Coturnix japonica: one gene and its partner. The protein of the gene in region 2 purifies or fractionates together with the protein of the main gene of each other region. This does not show direct contact. Links are inferred from orthologs where the notes say so. Each region holds a gene or a part of one and is shown on either strand. Other genes may lie near its edges.

Region 1 (6,100 bases), on a different chromosome or scaffold from region 2:
TCATATAAACAAATGTATGGTTAGACATGTACGTGCTTAGGGGAGGAATAATCTCTAGTTTAAAGGCGAGGTTTGGAGGCATCAGTTGGTTTGGATACTCACAGGTCTGTGGGAAGAACACTTAACTTTGGTGGCCAATATTTTCTGAGTAAAACAGAAGTCTTTGCTCTCATCATGAATATGAAGTGTGTGATTCTCAGAGACTATTAGGAAAGTGGAAATGTGAGTAATTTGCATGGAAGGTACAAGGTCTTGATTTCCACAAGAAGCGTTCTTGGCAAACACCGAGCCTTATCTAGACTGTACCTGCTATCTGACTGATCCGGTGATGAGGCTGTGGTACAAAGAGCAGATTGTGTATCTAAATGTGCACAGGAAGTCTGTAGCGTAATTATAGTTGGACTCCAGATTTAGTGTCCAGTTAGCAGGTTTGTTTGTGTGCACTTCTTCAGGTATTTATAGGTTATCTTCCTCCTTCACACAGTGTACAATGCCTGGATGCAGGAACATGGAGGAGCCATTGTCAACATTACTGCTGCCGTGAGAAATGGGTTTCCTGGAATGTCGTAATATACATATAATTTTTTTTACATTTTCCTGTATTTTCCCCATAGAACTATTCATTACTCCTAAATACTGTGATTAGGAGAGGTGTATAATGTGCAGCAGCTGAGTAATAGAAATACAGTAGTTAATGTCAAGAAAGCAATACTTGTCTGAATGAGTGGGAGTCATTATTAATTCAATGGAGCCTGCAAGAGTGAAGGATATCTCTGATCCTTTCTGCTACTTTGTAAGAAACTGAAGCAGAACTTGTTAGCAAAGCTTTCATTGGGAACAAGGTGCTAGTGGAACTGGTTGCCTTGACATGGAACCTTTACTTGTTTTGATGGCTTTGCAAGAGCTTGGCATCTGGTGGTTTTTTACTTCTGCTGTCAGTGCATAGATCTTGATGACATAATTACAGTAAATGGGTGCGGGATAGGTGTTGTAGTAGGAACATACATAGCATTTTACTATGTTTGCATGGAAAGGTCTCCAATGCAGGAAATTGTTTTTTTTTCCTCTGCTATAATAATAATAATATAAAAATAATATATATAATAATATATATAATAATAATAATATAACAATAATAATGATTGAGTGGAGGAATGGTACAGAAAATGTCATGTTTGTAGTTCATCTATACTGACAAAAAATGATCACAGCTGTCTGCATGAAAATAGAGGGTCTTCATAGGCAGATGTTGATTGTATTTGTTCACGTTGTTTTTTACCTTCAAAATGGATGTAAGCCTTCTGGTTGAAGCTTTTCCAACAAGAGCTTTAACTTGTGTGAGAGAAATATTCTTCAGAAAACACTGGTTTAAATGAAAATTTGATGTAGTGAGAATGCTATGCATTGGCATTTTCCAGAGGGGAAGAATTCTGAGGTTTGAGTTTCTTATTTGAAACTACTTTTTCTAATTTGACTCTGTGTGTATTCACTTGTATTTTCTTGAATAGAATTTGAACAAGTGTTATATTAACTTCCCTATGCCTCATTCAGGATTAAATCTTTCCAAATCTCAGTTTCTTACTGGCTTATTCTTAGCAGTACAAAATGTGAAGATCCACATGGTGGTGCTGAAGCTACAGTCATTTGAGTTTCTTTGCTCTGGATATATCTGTTTGAATTGTCACTATGAATAGAATATGGGAGAGTTGAACAAAGAATATAAGAGTAAAAAATTAATTCTAAATAACTTGGAGAAAAGTTCACCAGGTAACTTGTATATAGGTATGGATGGATAGGTAAGACTACTTTCAAACTAAATTCTTACATAATTGACACTCGTTTAAGGAAATTGTAGCATAGGTCTGTTAAATTTGACCCCAACTTCACTGTTTAAGAACTAGAAAATTGCTGTGCCTCTTGAGTGGTTGGTCCAGCCATGGAACACTACTCTGACTTCCTAGTAAGGCTGCAGGGATATTAATACTGAGCATTTAGCTGAGGGAAAAGGTGCTTCTTTTGCTTTCTTTTCTTAATAGGCACTCAGGAGCTGCAAGAGCAGCAGTGGATAACCTGACCAAGACTTTAGCTTTAGAATGGGCCCACAGCGGGGTGCGAATCAACAGCGTTGCTCCTGTAAGTAGCGGCAAGTGATGTGATTCAACTTGCTATCATATGTGTTTATGGTTGATGCTCCATAACTGAAAGGGATTTCAAAACGTAGAGCTTCCAACTGTTTATGGATTTTTATTTATGAATTTTTAGTTTCCTCATACATTTCACCCACACACTTTCCTTTCCATACATGCCCTTTTTTCCAAGGGGCTTTGTGTGTTTTGTGTTGTTTAGATAATGAGATAAACGTGGGGAAAATGGTTTACAAATTTTTTTTGTATATGGTTCATCTGTGCTTGTGGCTTCTGCCTGCATTCGCAGTTATGTTGAGAATCTCTGAATGTGTTCTTTCATGTTTCTATCTTCTCCTTGTCAAGTTAGGTTAGTTTTAGTTGTGAAAAGACAGTGTTGGAGATGTATCTTCACTTAAAGAAATTAGAAAACACATTTTTACATCTGGAATTCATTTTTTTTTTCTTATGAAGTATGCACAGATAGGATGCCACTACATGGGTCAGCAAAATACGCCTGCCATGTTTTTGAGGAAGTAGTTGAGATGTTGCAGTTATAAGTAACTTTGTGAAAACACCAGTTGTATTTTTGTTGCATGTGATGCAGCAGTTACAGGGCTATAAACAGGCCCTAGCTTTGAAGTCTGAGATGATGTCTAATGTGATTAAAGTTATCTTCACTCCTAATGACTGTTTCTTTTTCACATTTGCTGTCTTGAAAACTAAAGGGAAAACATTTAACTAGCTACTGCCACATTTGGAATTTCTCATCTTGCAGTTTAGTAAATCTCAGATTTATTAGTATCTTTTAAGGAAGATCCCTTTCCTGTCAGTGTAGGAGGTGAAGCAGGGTATACAGATGTCCTGCACTAAAATACCTCATTAGCTTTCTCCTGGCATAACACAAAATGCTTGATGGGAGACCCAGGAAGTGGCTCTTTTTAATAGCCTCTGTGAGGCTACTCTGGTGACTTCTTAAATATTAAGGTCTACTATCTTGTTTTTCCTGTTTGCTTTCTGATTTATCAAGACTTAGGGAAATAAGTAATGAGGACAGCATTAGTATGTGTGCATATTTTTAATGCATGCTAATTATCTAATGATTCATACTCATTATACTTTATAGCATCTGTCAGATGAGATTTTTGGCAGGCAGACACTTAAGTGGTTTGGCTTTTTTGCTATTTTAATTATGCAAGTGACAAAAATCTATTTTCTAGTTAGGGTGATACTTGACACCTTTGTGAACATACTTTGTATTAACCATGCAGAACTTGCTGTCTCACATGGGCATAGTAACATGCAGGGCAAGTGTGCGTAGAGAAGGAAATAAAATAGTTTTACAAGCGAGCTTCTTCCTTAGCTCCCGAAACACAGTTGTTCACATCTTAGAGAAATACTGAAAGGTTCTTAATGAACAAATTCAAATGCTTTTGTCTTATTGAAACTTGAGTCCGAAATTTTGTATCAGAATTCATCTGTAGAACCCTTTTTCTCTTACTATTGCATTCATCCTCTCTATGGAGTTTAAGCTGGATTTTAAAATCATCAGAACAAGGATTTCTATAACAGCTCAGTAGGAAGAGTTTGAAATCTGATTGCAAAACGCCTGTGTAATTCACAATGAAGTCAATCTAGTATTATTGCAGACTATATACAAAAACAATAAGAACTTGTTCTTGGGGTTCCTGTAGCTTTCTGTTGCAATTTAATTTGAAATGTTGGTTATTTCAAAGCAGTTGTTGAGTTTCTTAAGAGTTGTTGGTGTGGCGGTGAAGGATTAGAACAATGTGAATTAGTGTGTTTGAACAGGGATGTAACTATCTGTTCAGTTGCCTTCTTTTGTAAATTATACTATTTCATCCAAGTTAAATACTTGCATTCAAGTCGTGTTGGGATTGTTAGTGCCATAGAAAATCCCAGTAAGCTTAAAATTTAATCACAACTTAACATATGAAAGCGAACTTTTTTTGTTGTTGTTGTTGTTTTAATGTAGGGAATAGTATTTTCAGAAACTGCTGTTGCCAACTATGGAGAACAGGGTGTAATTATGTGGTTGAAGAGCATACCGAAGGTTCCTGCTAAGAGATCAGCAGTTCCTGAGGAGGTAACGTATTTCTGAACATTTGTGATGTTCCTACTTCTGTGTCTCTGTTTTAAAACCGCTTCATTATTTGGAGACTATTAAGGACCTGATTTTCAACTGGTGTAGTATAAAGAAAAGAAAAAGCTTGTAGAAATGTGCAGTAGTGTCAACTGGGGGACTTTTATTTAGCTGTTGTAGCTAAAATGTCTCGTGGTTGGCCTGTGTTTCTGGGAAAGTTGACTTGGTTTTTTTAATCGGGGAGGATTAATGTGAAAAGGTGTATCTTAAAAGTACTTGAAAGCTCACCGTTGCTCAGCTTTTACCTTGTTGGTGTTGGTAGCTGGAAGTGTGGTTTTAAGATTGTTGGGACTTTGATAGTTGAGTAAAAATCAGAGCTGTGCCTTGCCTGTGTCCATTTTTAGGAACATCTTGGACATAACTGATGGCCAGAGGTTTAAGAAGGACTGAAATTGTCATTTTTGTTAGATTTCTCCTGCAGTGTGTTTCCTGCTATCTCCAGCTGCTTCTTACATAACTGGGATAACCATGGTTATAGATGGTGGCCAAAGTTTATATGGCAGTAGCTTAGAAATACCAGGTAAGAAATGGGCTAAAAATAATGCCCCTACCGTGATTGAAGTTGGGCAATGGGAGCATGCAAAACCAAAACGCCCACTTTCTTTATCAGCTAAACCCACTGTTTTGTTTCCTCAGATCACAACAGATGGCCCTCACCACCAGAAGGAAGAAATTCTGAAATGCTTAAAAAGCTTATTTCTGGTGAATTCAAGCCAAAGCTGTAGTAGAACGAAATGTCATTTTATTCCTGGTTTCACAGTTGCTGATAATCTCACTTTGTAACTTGGTATTACAATTACCAGTAACATGATTTCTTTTTCCCCCTCACATAACTACATAGGTTTTCATTGTCTCACATTCTCCTGTTTAAAACTTGAGTAGGTCCATAGAACATCTTCACTAACAAACACTTGCTGGCCCTTGGAAGGTGTAAAATCGATTCTTCATTGACACTACTAAGTAAGGAAGGATCTCAGTCAGGAATGGTTAAAAGACACCTACTTTGAACTGAAGGGACAGGAAGAGAATTTTATAGAATCATTTTACACAGAGTGATTTGGGGGAGGAAGTTTAAGTCTTTGTTATTGGTACCTGCATCAGTAACCCTTGCAGTGGCTGTTAGAAGTATATAGTTTCAGTTCAGCCACAATCTGAATGCTCACAATGATTTTAAGGATTGATTAAAGTGCTTATCTGAGATGGGAGGAAATAAAATAAAGCAGAGGCCGGTTAAATAGCGGAATACTGTTTTTACAGCTTCAAACTAATGAAGCGTATCAGATGTTTCCAGTTGTTTGCCGATAAAATGACTTCAGGAGATGAGCAGCTGCCACTTAAATTCGTTGATAGAATAATCAAATAATAAGCTGTACAATACACTCTTGGAAAACTGTATGGATTTGATCATCTCACAGCAAAACCTGGAAGCATAGGTGCAGTGTATATTGCAGTGCTTTGTGCAATTTGCTATACTGGTGAAAGGAAAAACTTATGAATCTTACGTTTATCAGTGTAAATGCTTTCTATCCACACTGTCTTCTCTACTGATGTGCTGTTGAGATACCAGCTTTTTTCATCAGCATTCCTGAAACAGGGGTGATGCTTGTTCTCAATGGAGAGTTTCCATTAAAAAAAAAAGCCAACAAATCACAAGCAAATAAGTCTTAGAATATATTACTTGAAGAGGCTGGTTGTTGTAATTACTTTAAGACAAATGTTCTCATGTCTGATAACTTTGATCAAAGTATTAAAATAAATGACTGTTGTAACAACTGAAATTTGTGGAATCGAGTTGCTGCTACAGAAGTTACCT
Region 2 (5,545 bases):
TGCTTTTGCACAGAACGGAATTCCAATAGAAACACTACCAGCTCCTCACTATAGAGACAGAGGCTGAGCTTATTGCATCAGCAGATCCTACCTCAGACTTCAACAGCAGGTGAACAGCAGCACCTCAAAGCAGCACGTGGGCTGGTCCAGTCTATTTCCAGACATCTGCAAAGGACAGTCTCTGTCTCTGTCCTTTGCAGATATCTGGAAATAGACTGGACCAGCCCAGCAGTGCTGAACTGTCTTTTTGTTGTGTACCTCAAGTGAGTCTTGCTTTGTTGCCCAACACCCTCTTTAGGTAGCGACAGACAGAAATTAGAGTCTCCTCTCCTCCAGCCTTTTTAATGCCAGGCTAAATAAATATAGCTACATCACCTCGCCAAGTGCTTTAAGATCACACTGTTTCAGTAGTAGGTTGTTTAGCCACGTACCTTCTCTGCCACAGTGGATACCTTAGCTTTTATCTCAGTAACTACTCATCTTTTCTTGTTCCTTACTTTAAAATGGGGGGTGGTAGGCAGGGATGGTGATAATCATACATGAACTGCATCTGCTCATTTCCTATTTGCTATTTTTCCCTGGTAGTTGTGGATGCAAGGCACCAGGACAGTGTTTTATTGGAGGAGGTTCTGGTTTGTTCTTAACTTCTTTGGATGCTAGACAGTTGCAATGGCCCGTGTACGAAAGTGATAGACAATGACTTGCCCTCAACTCAACACTAGGTGTCACTTCTGCTTTAAAAATGCAACAAGACATGAAAAGTTGCTTGAAGAAATTCCCTTTTACTGCATCAGCTGCTCTGGAGACCTCCAGACCTACAAACTCTTCCTAAAGATATGGACCCTCCTAGAAGCATCCATACACTTACAGGGTTCTAAGGTTCCAAATGCCTCAAATCAGGCATTTGAAAGCATCTGAAAATACCAAACAAGTCTTTGCCGCGCTAGGTGTAATGTTGACCAGCAAAAGGTCCTCTCTCTTTTGTGTGAGCAGTGAAATTCCTGTCTAGGTAAATAAGGGATTACTAAATGCAGAAGCTGTCAGAGTCCCAACAGGGCGTTGAATTACAGACCTCTGAAAAATCCTCACTGCTTTACCCTTTGTGAATCTAAAATCCTCAGTGCTGCTACCTACCCCTGGTGGACAGCAAGGTTTAGCAACAGAAATGTGTTTGGCTGGAAACACAAACTATAGGCCCTTTTCCTTCCCCCACATTCAGGGGATGTGGAAGGCAGAGCTTCGGTGTAAATACAGTTTGAAGGTGGTTGATACCATCATCTGTTGATGAAGATGTTGAAGAGCACCAGGCCCAAGACTGATACTTGAGGGACACTGCTTGTGACTGACCTCCGCCCTGACACAGAACTATTGATCACAACCCTTTGGCTGCATCCAGCCAACTAATTCCTAATCCATTGAACAGACCATCCTTCAAATCCACACCTTTCCAATTTAGAGAGAAGGATGTGCTGAGGGACCATGTCAAAGGCTTTGCAGAAGTCCAGGTACATGACATCCATCATCCTTCCCCCATCCACCGAAGCCGTCACTCCACCACAGAAGGCCGCCAGATTGGTCAGGCAAGGCCTGCCCTCGGTGAAGCCACAGGGAAGCTCTTGCAGACTCACAGAAGTCTTGAGTGTACAGCAAAATGAAGTCCTTAATGCTTCATTTGCATGAGCTACCAATAAAACAAAATCTGGGTGGAAAACGGGAGACAAAGAAGCAGATTCGTGTTTCACATTCCAGTAGGCCCGTACCTGTGGAGCACTGCGCTACCCACCGCACGCGGCTTCAACAGACGCACAGAGAAAGATGTAATTTTGGCAATTTTAATTCTCTCCCCTATTATACAAAATATTTTACAATTAAAAAACATTTTTCCCCAACAGAATCATATACAGATATTTATAATGAACAAGAATCAGTTACAGTCGAGATGGGGGAACTTCTGCACAAAGTGAAAACAGTGACAATCAAGTGAAAAATTAAGACTTAACCCTTTCCCCACCATATTCTGAGAAGGGAGGTTAGAGTTAAGCTCTCATTTCTGTCACGTTGTGTCGAATTTGAACCCTGGGACCTCCTTTTTCCCCCCTGCAGCCCACTCACAACCATAACACCTTTGAAACATCCCTAGTGAGTACTCCCTCCAGAGTGGCTACTATAAGGTCTCAATGCCACACTGGGCACCCCCTGCAGATGTAATCTGAGAAAGCTTCCTATTTCCCCACGTTGACCATCAGCCTGGCAGCAGAGTGTCAGTCAGCCACGGATGTGATAATGTGAACCACTCAGATGCTCAGGCCACAAACAGCAGGTAGGGAACGTTGCACACTTCAGGAGGAGATTAAAAAGAAAAGGTTGCCAGTGATCTGCCCTAACAGAGCAAAGGTGTGTGTGAACCCAAGTGAACATTTTCTCCATAGAGAAGGTCACCGCTGGGCTGGCCCAACCCTGCATTCACAGGGGAGCTGATCCCAGAGTCACTGCTGGAGGCCAAATGCCTGAAGCAGCGTGGGGAGGTCATGGGCATCAGCTGCCCCATACAGGTCACTCTGCCCCAGCATGGAGAGGGCCATGCGAAGGGTGCTCCAGATGTTGTCAGACATAGCGCCTTGCTGCCCCCGTGGACCTCGGCTCTTCTGCTGCATGTGCAAAGCCTCTAAGAAGTGCTCCACAGCCTCACTGTCAACACGAGAATATACACATGCTTATTGGAGAAGATGGCACATCTCATATTCCCTCCCCATTTGCTTCTGAGCTGCTGTTTCTTCCCCTTTACGACAGTTGCCCTCTCTTCAGCAGATCCTTCCCCACTCCAAAACCACCAGTGATCCCCTTTTTCCCCTTCTCAGGAATACAAGTCCAGATGGCCTCCACCCTAAGTTTATCTGTCTGACATCTTCTCAGGGCAGACTCTACGCATTCACTGTCTGCCTATTGCCACCAGGAGGCGGCAGGTAGCACAGCACTGTCCTAGTAACCTACCAGTGTCTCCCTCCCACACAGATACGCAAACTCAGAGGTCACAGATTTGCCCATCCTCTGCTCACCGGTGGGCACCTAAGTTGATGCAGCTGATGCCCAAGTTGTATCGAGACCGGATATATCCTGGCTGGAGCTCCAGTGCCCGCCGATATGCAGCCACAGCTTCTTCACTGCGATTCCCATTGGCCAGAGTGGCACCAAGCTTGTTCCATAGGAGATGGTCCTGGAGAAAGGGACAGAGACAAAAGACTAAGCCAAAATGGCTCTTTTTAAGTTCCAAGCCATCCCTTCCTAACCAACACGTCTGTCTTACTCCTCCACTTCAAAGGATACACCTCTCATACACACAGCACCTCCACCCATAAAATTCTAGGTACCTCCAGCACCCCCACTCTGCCCTTTCTTACATTGGGGCGCACACTAAGCGCGGCACTGAAGCAATCCACAGCCTTCTCGTATTCGCCACTAAGGTTGAAAAGGACACCCAGGCCACACTGAACATCAGGATCAACAGTTGAGGGGTCGCTGCGCACAGCTGCTAAGAACAGCTCTTTGACTTCCACAAAAAGCGAGCTGGAAAAACATGGAACAAGGACATTTGTATACTGTAGAACAAGCTGACCTTGGGTTGCCCAATCTAACACCTGCCCAACCCAGCCCCAATCCTCCAAGAAGCTTCTCAGCTGAAGGCTAAGATTTGTACCCCCAACTCACTCAGACAGCAGGGACCCCAGAACACGCTTGGAAGTCCCAAGATTTGTCTCTGATGCATTCTCCTCTGATTCCTTCTCCAGCAAATGGGCATAGGCTGGTTTATGGTGTAACCAGTCCCGCAGGGTCTCACACGCCTGCTTCTGCAATGACTCATTGGTGAAGCTGACTGCTAAAGCCATAAGTGCTGTGAGGTTGCCAGGCTGCAGTTCCAAGCACCTGTAGGTCACAGAAAGAGAAACAACCATCATATTAAATCAAGACTGGTCATGCCCACGTATAGGTGACAACACAACCAAGACAGAAGACTAGCCACATGGTCCTCAGGGCATTATGCACAAGAGAAAGACCCCTGCTCAGGGGGGGTCTTCTGTACCACTCACCGTCTGAGAGCACTGATTGCTAAGAGTTCCTGTTCATTCTCTGCTTGGGTGGTTCCCAAGTATTGCCAGGCCTGAAGGAAATAAAGATGCATAAGTCAGACTTCCTCAGATCCAGAAAAAATAAACAAGCACAGAGATTAGACCTGAGATTAAACACACACACACACCTTTGCTTCATATATAATTTCATGTCAGATACCATTTTGTCGGACTATCCCTCTGCTGCCATCTGCCACACAGCAACAAAATGTAACAGAATACTGATGGAAAGGTTCAACCTCTACTGCCATCCCACCAACACTTGCCTCTGATATCACAGGCTGATGAGATAAAATAGGAGGCATTACTTTCAGAGCAACCTTATACATTAACCACAAACACTTAGAAACTTATCTGGAAAGATATATAGGCTTTCTGGTTCGTATGCTATACAGGAAAATAAATCCAGAGTTTTGGAGTTTCCAGAGATCCAGCAAAGCTGTACTTTGGACCAAGGTGACTTTGGAATTTCCTCACAGATCCAGGTTCTAACCAGAACCTCTAGTTTAGCTAACTGCTAAGACTTTGCTTTTAATACCCATATTAAAGACTGTCATCATCACTATCACAAGCACCTCTAGGCTCATAAAGCCAATAAAGACTTTCAAAAAGCAACTCAAAGAGATAAGAGCTCCTTATCTTGGCTTCATGCCTGCATTCTTATGATTTTACACAGCTTTGAGCAGAAGACTTTGTGCATCTGATTTTAGCCCTAAACCTTCTTGCCCACCATCCTCCTTGGGATTCACACACAACAGCTACATATCCAGAGCCAGAGACAAATGTCCTGCACCGCTGGTTGAGGGGAGCTCTCTACACACATCCTAACACCTCAAAGGTGAAGGATCCAAGAAGGAGGACACCTAGCCAAGGCCTGTTACCATCAGTCTCTCTCACCTCCATATGATCTGGATTCTGTTGCACGGCAGCCTCAAACAGCAAGACAGCGTTGGGGAGGTCACCTTCCTCCAAGCGCTTTCGCCCTTCTTCAAATGCATCAGGATGATCTCTCATGGGATTATCTTCTTCAAACTGGTAACCCTAGCAGCAGAAACAAGCAGAGGACTAATTGCTGGGTGATGCTAGGCAGAAAAGCACTTTCTAAAGGATATCACGATCTGGTCTGGCTGCATCAGAAACACTCCAACCACAGAGCAAATAGCAACTTCATTCTGTCTACTAGCTTGTAGCAGATTAGAGAAAAGCAGCTCTTTCTGCCTGCTCTATTCTGAAGAATTCCTCCAAATCTTGGACTGCATCAGACCTGAAGTAAACTGCAACAGTGATTAAATAGCTGGTGTTTAGCTTACCAGCTCTGGGTGGGCACTTGCACTCATTGCAAGCAATCCCAGCATTAACTGGCACTTGGTACCAGACAAGAACTAGACAGCATTTGCAGATTAGAATAAATGAAAATAGTA

The links.
Region 1: the proteins of PEX5 (region 2) and PECR purify together in Homo sapiens (affinity purification with mass spectrometry; 3 studies listed by BioGRID, with this or other methods). This does not show direct contact. The link is inferred for Coturnix japonica from reciprocal best matches to the Homo sapiens genes PEX5 and PECR.

What each region holds. Positions count from the first base shown.
Region 1 is NC_029522.1:23,213,667-23,219,766, reverse strand, and holds the end of PECR (peroxisomal trans-2-enoyl-CoA reductase), read left to right. Parts: intron 1-484; coding exon 485-566; intron 567-2,036; coding exon 2,037-2,133; intron 2,134-4,119; coding exon 4,120-4,230; intron 4,231-4,695; coding exon 4,696-4,807; intron 4,808-4,923; coding exon 4,924-5,012; 3' UTR 5,013-6,065; downstream 6,066-6,100. UniProt on the Homo sapiens protein: Participates in chain elongation of fatty acids. Catalyzes the reduction of trans-2-enoyl-CoAs of varying chain lengths from 6:1 to 16:1, having maximum activity with 10:1 CoA. Has no 2,4-dienoyl-CoA reductase activity.
Region 2 is NC_029516.1:69,678,765-69,684,309, reverse strand, and holds the end of PEX5 (peroxisomal biogenesis factor 5), read right to left. Parts: intron 5,166-5,545; coding exon 5,022-5,165; intron 4,157-5,021; coding exon 4,086-4,156; intron 3,922-4,085; coding exon 3,706-3,921; intron 3,565-3,705; coding exon 3,399-3,564; intron 3,215-3,398; coding exon 3,057-3,214; intron 2,689-3,056; coding exon 2,487-2,688; 3' UTR 1,817-2,486; downstream 1-1,816.